2 linked regions of the Stegostoma tigrinum genome follow. The protein of the gene in region 1 purifies or fractionates together with the protein of each later gene. This does not show direct contact. Links are inferred from orthologs where the notes say so. Each region holds a gene or a part of one and is shown on either strand. Other genes may lie near its edges. The genes, in order: protein LSM14 homolog A-like and eif4enif1.

Evidence for each region.
Region 2: the proteins of protein LSM14 homolog A-like (region 1) and eif4enif1 purify together in Homo sapiens (affinity purification with mass spectrometry; 3 studies listed by BioGRID and IntAct, with this or other methods). This does not show direct contact. The link is inferred for Stegostoma tigrinum from reciprocal best matches to the Homo sapiens genes LSM14A and EIF4ENIF1.

The regions. Positions count from the first base shown.
Region 1 is NC_081369.1:64,934,695-64,945,061, reverse strand, and holds the start of protein LSM14 homolog A-like, read left to right. Parts: upstream 1-6,550; 5' UTR 6,551-6,685; coding exon 6,686-6,806; intron 6,807-10,367. UniProt on the Homo sapiens protein: Essential for formation of P-bodies, cytoplasmic structures that provide storage sites for translationally inactive mRNAs and protect them from degradation. Acts as a repressor of mRNA translation. May play a role in mitotic spindle assembly.
Region 2 is NC_081379.1:46,710,353-46,720,422, forward strand, and holds the start of eif4enif1 (eukaryotic translation initiation factor 4E transporter), read left to right. Parts: upstream 1-6,160; 5' UTR 6,161-6,598; intron 6,599-7,083; 5' UTR 7,084-7,087; coding exon 7,088-7,207; intron 7,208-10,070. UniProt on the Homo sapiens protein: EIF4E-binding protein that regulates translation and stability of mRNAs in processing bodies (P-bodies). Plays a key role in P-bodies to coordinate the storage of translationally inactive mRNAs in the cytoplasm and prevent their degradation.

The sequences.
Region 1 (10,367 bases):
CAATAGACCAGAGGGTGGTGAGCAATAAGATAGAGGGTAATGGCTCGGAAATAATAGGAGTGTGGTAAATTGTGGAAGCTGTGAGGAATTGGGTAGAGAGTAATAAGTCAGAGTGACACAGTAATAAAGACAAAGGAAACTTGAGGGAAATGAATAATAGAGACCACGAGTATAGGGGACTGGTAATAACAGAACAGAGGAAGTAATGAGCCAGTGAGTAATAGAAAAAGGATATCTTTGGAAAGTATACAGGTAGAGAGTATTGGGAATAAAGGTAAAATCACCATGAGGCTGCTATCCTACAAGAGAACAATGACTGGAGGTGAGATGGACTTGAGAGTCACCATGCTTCAGGTGAGGTTGAGAAGGATGACCTTTATGGTGACCTCAGCCAATACGGAATCAAGGGTTATGGGGAAAGGACAGGAAAATTGATGAGAGGAATGTCTGATCAGCCACAATCCTTTTGAATGATAGAGCAGGATCGAAGGGCGGAACAGCCTATCCTGTTCCTATTTCTTATGGAAATTGAACTCCCTTGTAATGGGAATAGAGACTAATGGGAGTGTTAGAAATGGGAATCATCGAGATAGCAGTAAACATGACAAAGAATAAGAGGGAAGGAAAGCAAAGGGAATAATCCTGGGGAGTGATAGTGACACAAGGTAATAGTGACTCATCATAGGGACAGGGATTAATGTGACATAGAGGACTGAGGAATAATCAAAGGAGTAATATCATTTGAGCAAGCTTTTGGAGGACATTAGAAGAACAAGAAGTTTAAATTAGAGGCTGTAGGAACAGGCCAGGCAGCATCAGAGGAGCAGGAAGGCTGACATTTTGGGTCTGGACCCTTCCTCAGAAATTAGAGGCATTGCACAATGAGGTGCTGACTTGTTTTGAGGGACTGTTGAACTCTGACTTTGCAAGGAGCAAGGAGGGATGAACGATTTGTCCCCTCAAGCCTCCTTCACCATTTAGTAAAATCATGGCTGCTCTGATTGTAGCCTCCACTCCACATTCCTACCTACCTCCAAAAATTCTTGAGCCTAGTTAATCAACCTATGCCCTGAAGGAAAACATTCCCACTGTTACATTCCAAGCAGTAAACAAGAGCTTTTGTGAGGAAGCGTCTAGGCCCGAAATGTCAGCCTTCCTGCTCCTACAATGCTGCTTGACCTGCTGTGTTCATCCAGCTGTACACCTTGTTATCTCAGCCTTCCATTAGCCTTCTGAATCTCTTACAGTGCACATATATCTGCATACTAGCTTTGTGATTCATGTACCAGTGTGCTCAGATCCCCTTGTACCACTGAGGTCTCTCTCTATTTAAATAATATTCTGTTTTTCCGTTCTTCCTGCCAAAGTGAACAAAGTTCATATCTTCCAACAAGGTACCACCATCCACCAAATTTCTGCACACTCACATAATCTGACCACACTACTTCACTTCCTCTTTATGTCCTTTTCACAACTTATTTTCATACAAGCCATTGTAATCATCCTAATGAAGTCTAATGCTGAAAACATCAGGAGATTCCAACCTGCTGTTTGGCGAAATGGATAGTTCTCAATTTCATAATATTAGGGAAACGATAAGCTTCATCACGAGGCAGGCAACCAATTCTGTAGAGATAACATCTTCAGGAATAGACGTTTGAAGAATATTTAACTGTTTTCAAACCACAGCATTGCAAATCACAACACACAAATTGTCTCAGAGATAATAGGAACTGCAGATGCTGGGGAATCCGAAATAACAAGGTATAGAGCTGGATGAACACAGCAGGCCAAGCAGTATCTTAGGAGCACAAAAGCTGACATTTTGGGCCGAGACCCTTCATCAGAAACGGGGGATGGGGAGAGGGTTCTGAAATAAATAGGGAGAGAAGGGGAGGCGGACTGAAGATAGATAGAGGAGAAGATAGTTGGAGGGGAGAGTATAGGTGGGGAGATATGGAGGGAATAGATCAGTCTGGGGAGGACAGACAGGTCAAGGGGGCGGGATGAGGTTAGTAAGTAGGAAGTGGAGGTGTGGCTTGAGGTGGGAGGAGGGGATTGGTGAGAGGAAGAACAGGTTAGGGAGGCGGGGATGAGCTGGGCTGGTTTTGGGAATCAGTGGGGGGAGAGGAGATTTTGAAGCTTGTGAAATCCACATTGATACCATTGGGCTGCAGGGCAAAACCAGCCCAGCTCATCCCTGATAATGGGAATTGCAGATGCTGGAGAATCCAAGATAACAAAGTGTGAAATTGGATGAACACAGCAGGCCAAACAGCATCTCAGGAGCACAAAAGCTGACGTTTTGGGCCTAGACCCTTCATCAGAGAGGGTCTAGGCCCGAAACGTCAGCTTTTGTGCTCCTGAGATGCTGTTTGGCCTGCTGTGTTCATCCAGCTTCACACTTTGTTATCCCAGCTCATCCCTGCCTCCCTAACCTGTTCTTCCTCTCACCCATACCTTCCTCCCACCTCACGCCGCACCTCCATTTCCTCCCTACTAACCTCATCCCACCCCCTTGACCTGTCCGTCTTCCCCGGGCTGACCTATCCCCTTCCTACCTCCCCACCTACACTCACCTTCACTGGCTCCATCCCTACCCCTTTAACTCGTCTGTTTCCTCTCCACCTATCTTCTCCTCTATCTGTCCTTGATCCACCTCCCCCTCTGTCCCTATTTATTTCAGAACCTTCTCCCCATCTCCCTTTTCTGATGAAGGGCCTAGGCCCAAAACCTCAGCTTTTGTGCTCCTAAGATGCTGCTTGGCCTGCAGTGTTCATCCAGCCCCACACTTTGTTAACACAAATTGTTTCATTTGTGTAAGCTGTTGTAATGATTATGTTGACACTCATTTACATTCTTCTCCCTTCACAATGAAAAATCACAATCAAAACAATTCCCCTCATTCATCTTCTAGTTAGTAATGACATTTAGTTCAGAGACACATAAGTTGTGAAGCTGTGAGATTGTTTTCATCATTGTAATAGTGGTGAATTCACTAGCTTGCATTGCCTTGAGTATAGAAGATTAACGGGTGATCAACTGGGCTGTTCAGAATTTTAAATGCATTTGATAGGATGGGCAACACTTCCTCTGATGGAGGAGTCCAAAAGAATGATGTATATCAATATAGCACTGACTCTTTGAAACAAAATCTAGACCCTTCATCAGAAATGAGGGAAGGGAAAGGAGTTCTGAAATAAATAGGGAGAGAGATGGAGGTCAATAGAAGATGGATAGAGGAGAAGGTAGGTGGAGAGGAGACGGATAAGTCAAAGAGGCGGGGATGGAACCAGTAAAGGTGAGTGTAGGTGGGGAGGTAGGGAGGGAATAGGTCAGTCCAGGGTAGACAGACAGGTGAGGTTAGTAGGTAGGAAATGAGGGTGCGACCTGAGGTGGGAGGAGGGGATAGTTGGAAAAACAGGTTAGGGAGGCAGGGACGAGCTGGGCTGGTTTTGGGATGCGGTAGTGGGAGGGGACATTTTGAAGCTTGTGAAATCGGGTCTAGTCTGGAAACGTCAGCTTTCCTGCTCCTAAGATGCTGGTTGGCCTGCTGTGTTCATCCAGCTCTACACTTTGTTATCTTTTAAAAACAAGGTTGTACTTCTCTTAATGTTGTCAAGGAACATGGAGTATGACAGGTAGACTTTCTCCTTCATCACTTGCTATAGGCTTTGTGTAGCAACAGCATCGGTTCTGGTTTGGCCATCTCAATCAGTAAGGGGGCTGCCAAGTTATTCCTGAAATCCATCTTTATTGATCTCAATACCAGAGGAAAAGTTGGACCAGCTGGGCTCAGACCTGCTGTAGTATGCAAGAGTAAGAGGTGACTTGAATGAATCATTTTTGATCCTGAGGAAGCTTGACAGGATGAATGTTCCAGAATGTTTTATCTTGTGGGAGAGTTTAGAACTAGGGGATCACCACTTAAAAACTATTAAACAACATTTTTCTTCAGAGTGAGCTCTAAGTTTTGGAATTCACTTCCTCAAAAGGCCATGGAAGCAAAATCTTTGTGTATGTGTAAGGTAGAAGTGGATAGCTTCCAGGAAGCAAGAGAGGTGAAAGGTAATTCTGGGCTACAATCACATCATCCACCATACATTTAAATAGCACAGCAGGCTCCAGGTATTAAATGGCCGACTGTATTTTTATATTCACATCTCCATCAGGAGTACTTTATGTCATAGAGTCACAGAGGTCTACAATACAGAAAAATATACTTCAGCTCATTGTGTCTGCATAAGTCAAAAACAACCACCTAACAATTCTAATCCCATTTTCCAGCACTTGGCCCATAGGTTTGGATACCTTGGCATCACAAATGCTCATCTAAATGCTTCTTCAGTGTTATGAGGATTTCTGCCTCTACCATCCTTGCAGGCAGTGAGCTGAAAATGTTTTTTCCTCACATCTCCCCTAAACCTGCTGTCCCCGGTCATTGATCTCTCCAACAAAGGGAGAAATTGCTTCCCGTCTACCCTATCTATACCCACATAATTTGACACATGTCAACTATGGGATTTCAAGACAAGAGGGCATATTTTAAAGGTGAGAGGAAAGAGATTTTAAAAAAGACGTAAGAGGCAATTTTTTTACACAGAGGGTGGTTCACGCGGGGAATGAGCTTCCTGAAGAAGTGGTGGACATGGGCACAGTTACAACGTTTAAAAAACACTTAGCTAAGTACTTGAACAGGAAAGGTTTGGAGAGATATGGGCCAGGAGCAGACAAGTGGGACTAGTTTAGTATGAGATTATGTTCAGCATCGATTCATTGGATCAAAGGGTCTGTTTCTGTGCTGTATCGCTCTATGTCTATGACTGTCAATCTCTTCTCCATCTCCTTTGCTCCAGTCTGTCCAATTTGTCTTCAAAGTTGAAACTCTCAAGCCCAGATAACATCCTGGTAAATCTCCTCTGCACCCACTCTAGTGCTATCATTCCCTCCCAAAATGTGGAATCCAGAACAGCAGTATTCTAGCTGTGGCCTAACCAACATGTTTCACAGTTCCAGCATAAGCTCCCTTCTCTATGCTTCAACTAATAAACATGAATATACCAGATACCTTCTTCACCATAAAGACATACAGCATAGAAACAGACCCTTTGGCCTACTGTACTCAATGTTCCCTTGGCCTACTATGTCTATGCTACCAACAAACACTAATTTTGTGGTCCTGAGTAATTCCATTTACCTGGACTTAGCCCATGGCCTATCATGCCCAACACTTAAGTACTCATCCAGATGATTCTTAAATGTTGTGAGAGTATTTGTCTCCATCACCCTCTCAGGCAGCACATTCCATATTTCTACCATTCTCTGGGCATAAAAATTCTTCCTCAGATCTCCTCTCAACTACTTGCTCCTCACATTAAACTTATGCCCTCTGGTCTTAGACACATCTGTCATGTGGAAGAGATTCTTTGATCTGTTCTGTCTATGTTTCTCATAATCTTTTATACCTCAGTCCCAGCCCACCCACCCCCCCCAACTTCCTCTGCTCCAAGGAAGACAAACCCAGCCTATTCAGTCTCTCCTCATAACTGAGACTTTTCATCCTAGGCAACATCCTGGTGAATCTCCTCTGCACCTTCTCCATTGGCACATTGTAAAATTCTTTCCATTCTTCTGATTTTTTCCCCTTTGTTTTAATCTTATACAATTCTGAACCTCCTTTGTTAGCTGTAGTTGACTGATCATTTTTGAGGTTTGGCACATTGAAGGAATATACAGTTGCTGCAAGACATGTAATCATTCCTTAAAGACTATCCATTGTCTATGGACAGTCATGTCTTTTAATGTATTTTCCCATTCCTCCACCATCAATTTGTGCCTAACTTTATTTTCCTGTTAAAATTGAATACCCTTGCTTCAAATGAAACTTCCCCACTTTTAAACATAAAGCAAAATTCAATCTTATTGTTGTCACTCAATCCTAAATAAATATTTTCGAACAACATTGAACTAGTTATGACTTTAAGTTACAATAGATCAGGCCTAAACTAACTTTTTTTGTATGTGTAGGCATATTGTTGTCTGGCCTGGTGTAGCATGATCTTCCTTGCTATTTATGCTCAGTGATGCCCAGATCCATTATATCATCGTAACATTGCTCCAGGGTCTTTAAACCCCTAAATCACAAACGATTTCAAAATGTAGCTTGCAAATCCAGAGGTTGTTATTATTTTGTTATTATTTAGATAGAAATGCAAATATTATGTGTGTACTTCAAAATTTTTGGTAAATGCCAGCTAGGTTTAGAAATAAAACTAAATCGTGGAGCAGTTCCCAGCTCTCACTTCAGATTTCTTCAATGATTTGAGAAGTTAACTTTTCCAGCAATGTTTTTGAGTTAGTTTTGGAGAGTTACGAGGTGCAAGCTTCCGAGAGAGAGATGCTTGTTCGCATCTTTTAAGATTTCGTCCTGCAGAGAGTGAGACTGGTGTTGTGCAAAGAGAGGGAAAGAAACAGAAGGAAAGTACTGGCTGAGTGGGGGAAGGGCCTGGCCACTGGAATATGAAGGCAGCCATGTTGGCTGCTGCCTGAGCGAACGTCACGGACCGGGGGGGTAGGGAGGTGGATAGAGAGAAAGAATAGGCCGGAGCGGGACGGTAGAGGCAATCCGCATTCATCCGCTGCCTCAGCTCCCGCAAATAGTGGTAGGCACTGCACAGCTACCATCATGAGTGGGGGTACTCCTTACATCGGCAGTAAAATCAGCCTGATCTCCAAGGCAGAGATCCGATATGAGGGGATTTTGTACACCATCGACACCGAGAACTCCACCGTCGCTTTAGCCAAAGGTAAATGGCGTAGAGGCGCCGGGCCTAAGAATACGACCCCATCCCTTGTGAATAACTCTTGTCTATAATAATCCCTCACATTTCGACATTCTTATCGCTAAAGAAACACAATTTGTTATTTAAACGTCGGGCAGTTTATCCCTTGTTTTAAAAAAAACTAAAATGGCGGGATTTGTCAACAAGAGCTTCTGTTCTCTTAAGTGTGTTTAATTGTATTTCAATCTGAGCTTTAATTTGGATGTTTTCTTACTTTCTTTGGGGAGGGGGTGGGGAATGTGAATTTTATCAATATATTCTAATTGGATGTGGTAAAGAAAGTGGGGAGTGGTCGGTGGTTATAAAGACAACCTGCTACCCACATCATAAACAAAAATAACTAAGACATTTCGTTTTAATATTTCTTTGTATGACTCACTGCTTTTAAATTGAATGGCTGCTAAATCAATCCGATTTGTTCGTCAAATCAGATAACACTGTTGCTCCTTGCAGTTCGTTATCCAGAGGAGTCTCCGCTTTTGTGGTTTTCATCCTCAATTTAGTGTTTATAATGTTTATATTGCAGTGTCTTCCAAGCAAATTGTTATATAGAAAATTCGCTGATAACTTTTAAAATGTTAGCTGCAGTAACTTTCATTTGTCTAGTGATAATGAAGCAATATTCTGATTGCTATTTAGATTATCTCTGGACTACTTCGAAGTTCCAAATCTTTAACGTACGTAAGAATTTCATGGTTGAGGTTATTTTTGTCTAGTTATTGGCAAGTAACGTGTTATCCAATTACCCCTTTTGTTGGAAGTAAACCCCAAAATAATAATTAGATTTTAATGAATTTGTGAAGATGTTGAATTGACTTGAGAAGGTAATTTTCTGAGCAAGTGTTTTAGCTTGAGGTATGATAATAGTGCACTCCAAAAAGCACTGATTTGTCTGGTTACTTGGGTTAAATGGGCATCTGTCTTTCTGTTGAAAAGATTTAGTTGGATAGTTTTCCAATAGACTGGAAAATCTAAAACACTTCAATTTGGAACAACCTAACGTGATTTTTGTGTTTGTGTTGTTTACAATGATTTTGTATAATGTGTATTCTTCAATAAGGCTTTACTTTGACTACCTATCGTTGGGTCTTTTAAGAGTTGGAAATTGGTGACTCCTGAGGAATTTATCGATGTGTTGTGGTGCCCACTACAAATAATTAGTCTAGAATAATTTTGTAAGTTTATAAATGTAGGAAAGAAGAGATTCTGTTTGTGGCAACCTCTGTTCAAACAATTTAACAAGTTTCTTTTTCTTTTGTTCATTCCTTGTAGCCCTGCAGATTTTGCCTCTCTAGATGTCCATCTAATTTCTTTTTAAAGCTATTAAGGAATCTGCTCTTTTCCATCTTTTCTGGCATTGCATTCCAAATCAAACCCACTTGCTGAATACAAAAAAAACTTGGCACTTTTTGGCCTTTTGTAATCTCCTTAAATTTGTTTCCCCCCAGTTCTTAACCACCTTGAACATGGGAACAATTTCTTTCTGCACTGAGTTTGTGTTGTGACGTGGACCAATTCAATCACATCTCCTCTGAATCGTTACTTTTCAAAAAGAAGAACTGCCCCAGTTTCACCCATCTAAGCTTGTGACTGGTCCCTGGAGTGAGAAGCTTTGGAGATCTGCCTCATTCGTTCCTAAATCAGGTGCTCAGAAAGAAAACATTTAATCTAGCTCCTCTGGTAAATTGTGTATGATCAGTTGAACAAAATGACCTTGCTTCGGTACACTGTACGATTCTGTTTTCTGGTGTCTGTAAGCAAAACCCAAAATTGTCCAGGATTAGAGTTGATACATGGGAATTCTTTCTGCTGACTGAAATGACTGGAGGCCAGAAGTCCCGAAAGGATGTGGGAAAAGGCAGAAGATAAAATAAATGACTAGCAGAAAAGACCACCAGCCGGAAGGAGGAAAAAGTTACATCTGTGAATCCCACGCTAACATTATTCCTCTGTGCTGGCTGCAGAAGGCATTGCTGCTTGGAAGTTGACCTCTTGCGACAACAGGTGATGTTCACACCAATGACATAAGACCTGAGTACAGTCTGCTGTGTTTCAAAATGCATGGGTGCCATTAATGTCTTTTCCATGTGTTTTCTAACTCTTTCTCAATGATATAAATGGATTTATAGTACAGAAATAATCTATTCTGGCCAGTTTTTGAATGCCACAGAAGTTTAGAAAGTTTGAGGATAGTACCATGAAAGGTACCACAGAACCTCTACAGTGAAAGCTGGACATTTGGCCCATCAAGTTCATGTGACCCTCTGAAGAGGGTCCCACTCAAACTCAAACCCAAACCCAACCCCCGACTCTGTTCCTGTAACCATACACTTCCCATGGCAAATCCACCTAGCCTGCTCATCCCTGAACACTACGGACAATTTAGCATGGCCGTTCCACCTAACCGCCTCAGCTTTGGACTCGGGGTGGGGTGGGTAGGAAACTGGAACGTGTCTGGAGGAAATCCATGTGGACGTGGAGAGAATGTGCAAACTCCACACAGACAGTAGCCCGAGGGATGGAATTGAACCTGGGTCACTGTTGCTGTGAGGCCACAGTGCTAACTGCTGCAGCACCCATTTTCTTCCACTTTACGTCATCCTGCCCCAATGTCATATCTTTAAATTATTTCCTCCCTTGCACTTGCCCATTTTCCCAGAAGTGTGTATTAAAGAAGCCTGTACCTGTCTTGGAGGTGAAGGGCAGAGATTCACGAAAGTTTTTTTTAAATTCATTTGTGGGATCTGTGCATTACTGACTGGCCAGCATTTGTTGCCCTTGAGGGTGGTGGTGAGTTACCTTCTTGAACTACCATAGTCCACTGTTGTGGGTTGACCCACAATGACACGAGGGTGGGAATTCCAGGATTTAGACCCAGCAACAGTGAGGGAACAACGATATATTTCCAAGAGGATAGTCAGTGGCTTGAAGGTGAACTTAGGTGTGGTGCTGTTTCTGTATACCTGCTGTCTTTGTCCTTCGATGGTAATGGTTGTGGGTTTGGAAGGTGCTATCGGAGGATCTTTGGTGAATTTCTGCAGTGCATCTTGTAGATAGTACACGCTGGTGGAGGGAATGGATGTTTGTGGTTATGTTTGTGGTTATGTTTGTGCCAATCAAGCAGGGACTGTTTTGACATGGATGGTGTCAAGCTTCCTGAGTGGTGTTGGAGCTACACTCATCCAGGCAAGTGGGGAGTATTCCATCATACTCCTGACTTGTGCCTTGTTGATTGGACAGGCTTTGAGGAGTCAGGAGGTGATTTACTTGCCACAGCATTCCTAGCCTCTTACCTGCTCTTGTAGCCACTGTGTTATGTGGTGAGACTAGTTGAGTTTTTGGTCAATGATATCCCCCACTATCTACACTCTGTGGGTTTCAGTGATGGTAACACAGCTGAATGCTGAGGTATGGTGTTTAGATTGCCTCTTGGTGATAATCATAGCCTGGCATTTGGTGCAAATGTTACTTCTCAGCCCAAGCCTGGACATTGTTGAAATCTTGTTGCATCTTGAACTTGGACTG
Region 2 (10,070 bases), on another chromosome or scaffold:
TAGCTTGTACCTTATCGATAATAGATAGGCATGGGAGGTAGGTGCTGAATTATTTGTCACAGAATTCCAGCCTTAGACTTGCACTCACCACCACACTTTGTGCATGATTGATCCAGTTTGGTTTTTGGCTACTGACATTGACAGTGTGGGAGTGCTCAGGGATAATGTTTAGATTCCCTATTGGTGGAGATGGTCATTGTCTATCATTAGTGGAGTGTGAATTTTACAAACCACTTCTCAGCTGAAACATGAATATGGTCTAGGACTAAACACATTTAGACATGGAAACAAAAAGGACTGTAGATGCTGGAAGCTAGAGTCAATAAATGTGGAGCTCAAAAATCACAGCAAGTCAGGCAGCATCCAAGGAGCAGGGAAATCAATGTTTTGGGCTAAAACGCTTTGCCAGGACTGAAGAGCCGAGGGGAGCCCCAAAATAAATCGAGGGACGGGAGTGGGGTTAGGGGGAAGGTAGATGGCATGGAGATAGGTGATGGCATGGTGGCTCAGTGGTTAGCACTGCTGCTTTCCCAGCGCCAGGGACCTAGATTTGATTCCACCCTCGGGTGACTGTCTGCATGGAGTTGGCACATTCTCTCTGTGTCAGTGTGGATTTCCACCTGGTGCTCCAGTTTCCTCCCATAGTCCAAAGATGTGCAAGCCAGGTGGATTGGCCATGCTAAATTACCCATAATGTTCGGGTATGCGTCAGTCAGGTGCGTTAGTCATGGAAAATGCAGGGTTACAGGGATAGGATAGCGGGATGCTCTTTGGAAGGTTAGTGGACTTGTTGGGCCAAATGGCCTGTTTCTACACTGTAGGGATTCTAAGAATATCCTTTCGAACTTTAGGACAGCACAGTGGCTCATTGGTTAGTACTGATACCTCACAGCGCCAGAGATCTGAGTTTGATGCCACCTTCAGGCAACTGTCTGTGTGGAGTTTGCATATTCTGCACTGTGTCTCCTTTGGGTGTTCTGGTTTCCTCCCACAGTCCAAAAGTGTGCAGGTTAGGTGGATTAGCGATGGGTAATGCAGGGTTACAGTGTCTGGGTGGGATGCTATTCAGACTGTCGGTGTGGATTTAATGGGCCTAATAGCCTGTTTCCACACTGTAGGGATTGCACAATAGCTCAACCAGCTTGGTCAGTGGTGATATTACTGAGACACTTTTGTAGATGGACTTTGAGGTTCCCCCACCCTGAGTGCATTCTGCATCCATGCCACCCTGAGAGATTCCTCCAAGTAATGTTCAACAAGGAGGAAACCTGAATAATCAGCCAAGTGGGGGTGCTAAGTGGTTATCAGCAGGAGGTTCCCTTGCCTATGTTTGACCTGACAGTATGAAACTTCATGGGGCCCAGACTCAATATCGACTCCCAGGATAACTATCTCCTGCACAGTGTACCACTGTACTGACACCTCTAGTGGGTTCATCTTGCTGCTGGGAGGTGACATATCCAGGGATGATGATGTCTGGAGCATTGTCTACAAGGAATGATTCTATGAGTATGACTGTGTAGGCTGCTGCTTGACTAGTTTCTGGGACTGCAGTCTGAAATTTTGACACAAGGTTCCAGATGTTAGGGTGTCACGGTGGCTCAGTGGTGAGCACTGCTACCTCACAGGGCCCAAGGTTCAATTCAGGCCTTGGACAACTGTCTGTTTGGAGTTTGCACTTTCTCCCTGCGTCTGGATGAGTTTCCTCTGAGTGGTCTGGTTCTTTCCACAGTCCAAAGGTGTGCAGGTTAGGTGGATGGCCATGGGAAATGCGGTGTTACAGAGATGTTTGGATGATCGGTTTGGACTTGATGGGCTGAATAACCTGCTTCCACGCTGCAGGAATTCTATGTTAGCGAAGAGAACATTACAAGCTCAACATGGCTGTGATGGAGTTGTTTCTGGTACCTGGGTCATTGCTAGGTGGTCCATCCAGTTTGGGTGGCTTTTTAGGTAATTTCAGAGGGCAATTAAGAATCAACAGTGCTACAATTAATGAAAGAAAGGTTGAAAGGCAAAGAGTTTTAGCAAATAATTTCAGACCTTAGGGCCTAGGCAAATGAAAGTATGAATACCAATGGTGGAGTGTTTAAAATTAAGGATCTCCAAAATTAGAGGAGGTTGGATCTCAAAACATCATGGAGCTGGAAGAAACATAAGATATAGGGAAGGATTAGGCCATGGAGCGATTTGAAAACAAAAATGATCATTTTGAAATTGCAGCATTGCTTACCTGGAAGCCAATGCATGTCAGTAAGTACAACAATCATAGAGTCATTTACAATGCAAAAGGGATTCTCTGAATCCATGCTGACTTCCTGTGGACCAATTCAATGTTAATTCTGTTCCCTCTCTTGATCCCTGTCGCTGTGCAAGTTGTTTTATCCTTCAAGTGTCTATTCACTTTCCTGCTGGTGTTTCTGTTTGTGGGCAATGAGTTCCAGATCATTACTGCTTGCTGAGTTAAAGTGTTCCTCTTCACATCTCTGACATATCTTTTGACCAAAACCTTCAATCTGTCTTCCCTTTCATCCTTGTATTATCAAAAATAGTCACAGTTTTCTGTTGCTTCCCTTATCCAAACTTGTCATAATCTTGCACATTATTATCAAATCTCCCCATAATCTCTGCTCAAAGGAGACCCCAGTTTTTCCAATCCAAGTTTGTAACTAAAATCTCTCATCCCTGGAACCATTCTGGTAAATCTCCTCTGCACCATGGGTCCTCATGCTCCTCCTAAAATGTGTTGGCCAAGTCAATGGGATTTGGTGCAAATTGGCGTAATGTTTGATTTGTAGGAAATGGAAGAATAGAATAGAATAGTGAAGACCTAATTAACAAAAACTTGAATGAGGATTTCAATATCAGGTGCACTGGTGCAGGTCAGAATTGGGTGACAGTCTCAGGAGTGAGGATGAGATCATATCAGGATCAGATATGACACAAAGCTTGTGAACAGTTTAATTCAGCCTCAGACAGTGACCAGGTAGAGCAGGGAATTGGTGACTCAAAAATGAAGTTTGTAATGGCTTCATTGTTCTGTATATTTAGTTCAGAGAAATTTCTGCTCATCAGGCCCCAGATATTGACAAGGAGCCTGACAATTTTGAGGCACTGTAAGAGTTGAGAGAGGTGTGGTGAGGCAGAGTTGGGTGTTATCAGCCCATACATGGAATCCGTTGGTGTATTTTTAAATGGTGCCACCAAAGTGTACAGATGAGAAATAAGAGCTGGTAGGGCTAGGCCTTGAGAGACACCACAAACAATCTATCTGGAGGGGTTTATGAATCGGAAGGATTTGGAGGGGAATGGCTTAAATGCTGGCAAATGAGACTAGGTCATTTTGGAATGTCTGGTTGATGCAAACGAGTTAGACCAAAGAGCCTGTTTCCGTGTTGTATGACTCTGTGACAATGTGGCCGGATTGAGAAGAGAAATCAATGATGGTAATTGTCTGACTGCAACTGGAGAGACAAGAGAAACTAGGTGAGTCCAGCCCTACCGAGCTGGCCAGTAGTGTTGGTGAGTTTGGCATGGTGAACCATGTCAAAGTCCATATAGATTCAAAACCAGAGAAGGAATAGTTTATCCTGGTCACAGTCACATGTTGTTATTTGTGACTTTGACCGCCACTGATTTGGCCACCACATTTTAGGAGGAGCATGAGGACCCATGATGAGGTGCAGAGTAGATTTAACAGAATGGTTCCAGGGATGAGAGATTTAAGTTTCAAACCTGGGTTTGGAAAAGCTGGTGTTCTCCTTTGAGCTGTATCAATACTGCGATTGGAGCATACATAGATGTGCTAACTCTTCTGAAGTGATTGTGAGAGATGTGGTTTCTCATTCATATTCAACTTTACCCACAATCTCACAGGAGAACTGAAATCTCAGGATTTTTAACAGTACTCTTACATATATGCACTTAATCTGAGACTGTTCATGCACCTCTTAAGGCCCATGTGCTTTGCTTGAGGAGGAAACTGGAAATGGGAGCTTGCGAAACATGTGCTTTGGGTCTTAAGCGATGACCTAATTGCTGATATGTACGCGTGAGTTGCAAGATGACATATGGTACAGTCCTGATGTTTGTTCTTAAACTGGCGAGAAATAATTTATTAAATTATGAGTAAAATGCTGCAGATGATGAAAATGTGATACAAAAACAGAGAATGCTAGAGAAACTCAACAGGTTTTGCAGCATCTTTGGAGAGTTAATGTTTCAAGTATGTCATGACTCTTCTTCAGAATTGTTATAGTGAGACAAGCCTGATATTTGGGCATATCTGTTTTCTCAAGGAGTCCTAAATAAGGCATTAGGCTCCCCAATAGTATACATAGGAGAAATATTCATCTTAGGCAGCTCTGTGAATATCTGAAAAGTCAGCTGACTCAATTTTCAAAAATTTGGCAGGAAATGTTGCTGTCTACTTTTTTAACCTTTGGGACCATGTGCTAGTTCAAGTCTGCCACTGCTTCCAAGCACTAAATAGAATAGTGATACATTTTTTAATAAGAAGCTCTGAAATGTTGAGCTTAAATAAGCCATGAACAACTTGTTTAGCTCTGTACCACACCTCTTCACTTGTAAGAGTTTGTTTTTTGATTTATGCAATGATGACTGTTCCAATAAATAGAAAAATCTTATTGGAGTTATTCAAACAGTGAAATCTGGAAAAGATAGACATGTGTCTTACGGGCAGAGAGGTTGGAATCACATTTGTCCCATATAACTAATGAGGATCTAATCTTCTTTTCTTTGGCAGTTCCTCAGGGTCCAGGACAACTTCCTTCCATTTGAGGCGGGGAAGGGGGATTTCTTTGGTGGTTGCATAATTCACTCCTGGAGCCACAGACTCTGCCATAGGAGGGGAAGGTGACATTTGATGAGGCAGGAGGGTGGGTTGTTCTGATTTTGTGAACTCCTTCCCCTCCTTGTGCTTAACCTCCATGTGCTCCACTTGGTGATACTGGAAGTGGTGTCATTTTTGTGGATGCTTCTTCCTAAGTTTGTGCATTCTATGGCAAGCAATTCTCATGCATTGTTGGGAATATTACATTTGTTTGGGTAGGTGGTTTCAGAGTATCCTTGTAGCATTTCATTTACCCTCCTGGTGATCACTTACCACTGCGGAGCTCAGACTCCTGTTTAGGGAGTCCTGAGTTGGGCCCACCCACAGCAGCTAGTCATCCATGACTCTGGCCTGGGAGAGGATGCTTGTGTTGGTATACGTATTCTGCCAATGGATTTCCAGGATTTTGTAAAGGCAGCAGTGGTGATAACTCTCCAATGAATTGAGATATCTACTGTACATGCTGTATATTTCTGCTGCATACAGGAGGGTGGGAGCCTGGCTTCAATGTATAGCATGAGCTTGGCAATGGATTTGCTGGACTTTCTGTTCCTCAAGTTGCAATGGTTTATTGGAGTCAATGTTTGATTTCATTGTCAATGTCTGTTTGCACCAAGAGGAAGCTTCCAAGGTATGGGAAATGATCCACATTGTCCAGAGGCTTGCTGTGCATTTTTATGTATGCCAGACTAGGGACTCTTTGGGAAAGCTGATTTGCTGACATGTTGTGATCTCCACTCCACTTTCCTCTATGTGGTCCAGAGTTGTTGACTCCATTTACAAAAATCTATTCAGTACTACCTTGACTAAAATCAGTGACACAGTAATTTGTGGGGAAAGAAATTCCACAGGGAGGGGGGTCAGTGGTTGAGGAGAAAGAAGCATTAACAATATCGTCTGATATTGGCCATGACATGTGAGATGAATTAAATTTAATCATCCAGGATGATGTGATTGCTCTGAACGCTCCATTTGGCTGCCCTACTCAATAGACAGCCTCTGACAGCACTCAGCCGCCCACTTCCGGTATCACTGTCAATCAGACGAAAAAGTGAATGGGATTAACCCAATGACGTTGTGGTCTTGCCCCGCCTCCTCCGCTCTGATTGGTTCTATTGTCTGAAATATAGTCGTCAATCCTAGTTGCTTGTGGGCCCTTTCCCTTTTGAGGACGAAGAGGGGGTCTTAACAAAATTATTAAAAGTGTAATCGAAAGCGCTTTTTTTTTTAAAAAAAGGAAAGTGCGGGTCTTGTGGCTTTTTTTTGTGTGTTTGTTTTTTTCTGTTTTGGTTGTGGGGACAGGCAGGCGGTTGGTCTGTACATCCGGGTGCGCGAAGCGGCTGTTGCCGGGCTTCGGGACACAGGCCGGTTCCGTCGGCTCCGGCTCAGGCTAGAGCGGGAGAGGCGGCAAGCGAGGGGCCGAGTGTCCGTAACCCCCTCCCCTTTCCTCCATACTCACTTCCCCCTCCCGGGGAAGAAGCCTACCCTTTGCCTCCTGTCTTCGGGAGTCAGTCTTTAGGGTGGCGCCGGGGTCTGACCAAACCCCCAACCCACCCAAAAAAACCCCTCCAGTGCCCGGAGCGGGCGGGCGGGCCGTTCTCCCTCCTCGCGCACTCTCTCCGCTCGGCCCGGACCTGGTGACCGGCAGGGCAGCCGGACGTCTTTTTTTCATCCCCACTCCTTCTCACCCGGGCAAACTTCCTCAGTCCGAGGCCTGAACTGTCAGCCTCGGAATCTCTCTGTCAGGTGTGTGTCTGTATGGTTTATCATGCAAAACATCGACTAGCCTCGGTCTTTGTACCAGGTGAAGCAAACTGTGTGTTTTTTTTTGTCCCGTCCTGTTTATATCACGTTTTGTTTATGGGTTCCTGCGACGTCAAATGAAATAGCTGGCCATTTGTTCCTAGTGTGCCTTGGCTGTGGTGAAGTCGGGATAATTTTACCTTTTTCGCAAGCCGTCTTGTTTCAAAACTGAAAAATTTTCAAAGGGAGAACGGGTTGCAGTTGCGTTCTCCCAGTGGGTGAGGAGACAAACCTGCGCAATTGCTACTTGGATGTCTGTGCTGTACGATAGTGTAACACTACTAGCGCAACAGTAGTTGATGGAATGGAAATTAAATTTCTTTTGTAGCTTTTAACTGCGTTCCGAACTGACTTGGGTTCTTTTTTTAAAGTGCAGTAGCTTTAAATGTTCGAATTGACTGAGTTTGAAGCTTTGTTTTCGTTTGAAGGGACATGTTCACAAAGCCCTCCGTGGCAGCCATGGATAAAAAAGAATGGATTGAAGAAAATGGAGAGCCATTAGTTAATCTACCAAAAATCTGTGTTATGAAGAAACCGTATCGATATTCAAAGGTATGGATTACGTGGTGATAGCTAGGGTTAATATTTAAAATGCATTTCATGGAACTGATGTGGTTGACATCTTAAACTTGTTTTGGATCTTACAGCTTGCAAGTATTTATTTTTGTTTTAGTAATGGCTATACTTGTCAAGTTGATGGATCATGATTAATAGATAGAACAAATTCTGTTCAAGAATTTGTCTTGATGACTGTGTCCAGCTGTAGCAAAATTGGAAGATTCTGTTTAACTTGGTGCAGCTGAGTGGACACAAGTCAATAGCAATTGACCAAAGTTTTGAGGTATGACTAAAAACCATTTTGTGGTGTGATGTCATGTAACAGCAGTCGCTGTTTTAATGAACTGTGAAAGTATGGGTAGCGTGACCCACTCAACCTCTATTTTCCAAGTATCAAGCATCATCTGCCTTTAACTTTCTGCTTAACATCTGAGTACTGCTGGCTACACTTTGAGAAATACCAAGCTCCAACTGCCCCTTGAAGCTGGTGGTAAACTGCCTTTTTTTTTTTGTAGCTCAAGTGCTGTTAGGCAAGTTTATTTTAGGATTTGATCTAAAGTATTAAAACAGTACAACACAAAACTGTACGAGAGTCCCTTCAACCCATGATCATGTGTGAAACATGACACCAAATTAAACTAATCCCTTCTGTCTGCTGTTGGTCCATATGCCTTTTATTCCTTGCATATTCATGTCCTTGTCTGAAAGTCCTTTTTTAAATGCATCTATCTGCCTCCTCCTCCACCCTGGCAGTGTTCCAGACTTGTACTTTTTAAAAAAAATTTGCTCCTGCTGTCTCCACTGAACTCCCCACTCCTACCCTAAATGCATGCCCCCTAGTATTAGACATTTCAACTCTATCCATGCGTCACAATCTTATAGATTTGTATCAGGTCTCCCCTTTGTTTTCCTTTTTGAGTAGCAGAGACTGAGTTTTTCTAGCCACTCTAAAAACCTCTTGTCCAGGCAGCATCTTGGTAAACCACCTCTGCATTCTCTCCAAAGCCCCTGCATCTTTCCTGTAACGTGGTGACCAGAATTGACTGCAATACTGTGGCCTAATCAACATCTTAAAAGCTGTAACATGAAATTCTGATTCTCCTACACAATTCCCCACAATGAAGTCAAGCATGCTTATGCCACCTTTACCATCCTATCTACTTGGCTAATTGCAGGGAGCTATGGGCTTGAACCCACAAGATCCTCCTGTACATCAAAGGTGTTAAGAGTCATGCCACCAGCTATGTTTCCTTAACACTTGATCTCCCAAAGTGTAGCACCTTACTTACCCAGATTAAACGCCATCTGCCATTTCTCTGCCCATATCCTGTTGTCCTTTGACAAACTTCTACACCATCTCTAACGCCACCGATCTTTATATCAGCTGCAAACTTGCTAACCTATCCATCTACACTTTCATCCAATTCACTTATATAAATCTCAGACAGCGGAGGTCCCAGTGCAGATTCTCTGTGGAACACCACTAGTCATGGATCTCCAGCCTGGAAGATGCTACCAATACCCTCTTGCTTCTATAGGCCAGCCACTTCTGAATCCATGTGGCCAAGTCACCGTGGATCCCATGCAACTTAATCCTCTAGATGAGCCTACCATGAGGGATCTTTGTTGAAAGCCTTATTAAAATCCATGTAAACAACATCCACTGAATACCCTCAATCGCCTTTGTGGCCATCTCAAAAGCCAATCATCTTAGTAAGACATGACCTGCACAAAGCTAATGCTAACTGGCCCTAATGAGGCCATGCTTTTTCCAAATGTGCATAAATCCTGTCCCTAAGAGTTCTCTCTAATACTTTCCAACCACCGTGAGACTATTGGCCTTTAGTTCCCTGGATTATCTCTAGTTCCCTCCTTGAACAGAGGACCAACACAAGCCACTCACTTAGTACTTTGGGGCCTTTCCAGTGGCTGGTGAGGATACAAAGATCTTGGTCAAGGCCCTAGTAATCTCCTGTCATGCCTTTCTCAATAATCTGGGCTAGATACCATTAGGCCCTGGGAACTTAGCCACCTTGATGCCCTTCAAGAGATCAATGCCACTTCTGTCTTGATCTCAATGTGTTTTAGCATGCTGTCCACACATCTCACTATTCTCCATATTCTTCTGGGTGAATACTGATGCAATGTACTCATTTAGGGCCTTGCCCATATTATCTGCTTCCAAGCACACGTTCTCTCCTTTCACCTTGAGTGGCCCACCCTCTCCCTAGTATCCTATTCCTTTTTAAATGGATCTGTAGAATACCTTTGGGATTCTCTTTAACCCTACTGGCCAAGATCATTTCATGCTGTCTTGGTCTCCTACTTTCCTGCTTGGGTGCTTTTCTTGTATTCCCCATGGGCTCTAGCTGATTTTAGCTTTCCTTCTGTCTTTTCCTTTTTTCCTGACTAAATTCACAAACTCTCTCATTATGCAAGGGTCCCTTACGTTGCCATCCTTATCCTCCTTTTATTGGAACATACCAGACTCGAATTGTCCCCAGCAGGTCTTTAAATAAGTCCCACATGTCAAACCTGGACTTGCCTGATAACAGCACCTCCCAATGAACACACTCTAGCTCCTGCCTAACACTGACGTAATTTTCCCTCTCCCAATTTATGCCTTCCCTCAAGGTCCTGACTTATCCTTGTTCATAGCTATCTTGAAACTTAACGGATGACAAGGTGTGGAGCTGGAGGAACACAGGCCAGGCAGCATCAGAGGAGCAGGAAAGCCGACATTTTGTCAGGACCTTTCTTCCTTTTTTTTTTTTGAAGGGTCCAGGCCCAAAATGTCAGCTTTCCTGCTCCTCAGCTGCCTGGCTTGCTGCATTCCAACAGCTCCATACCTTGTTAT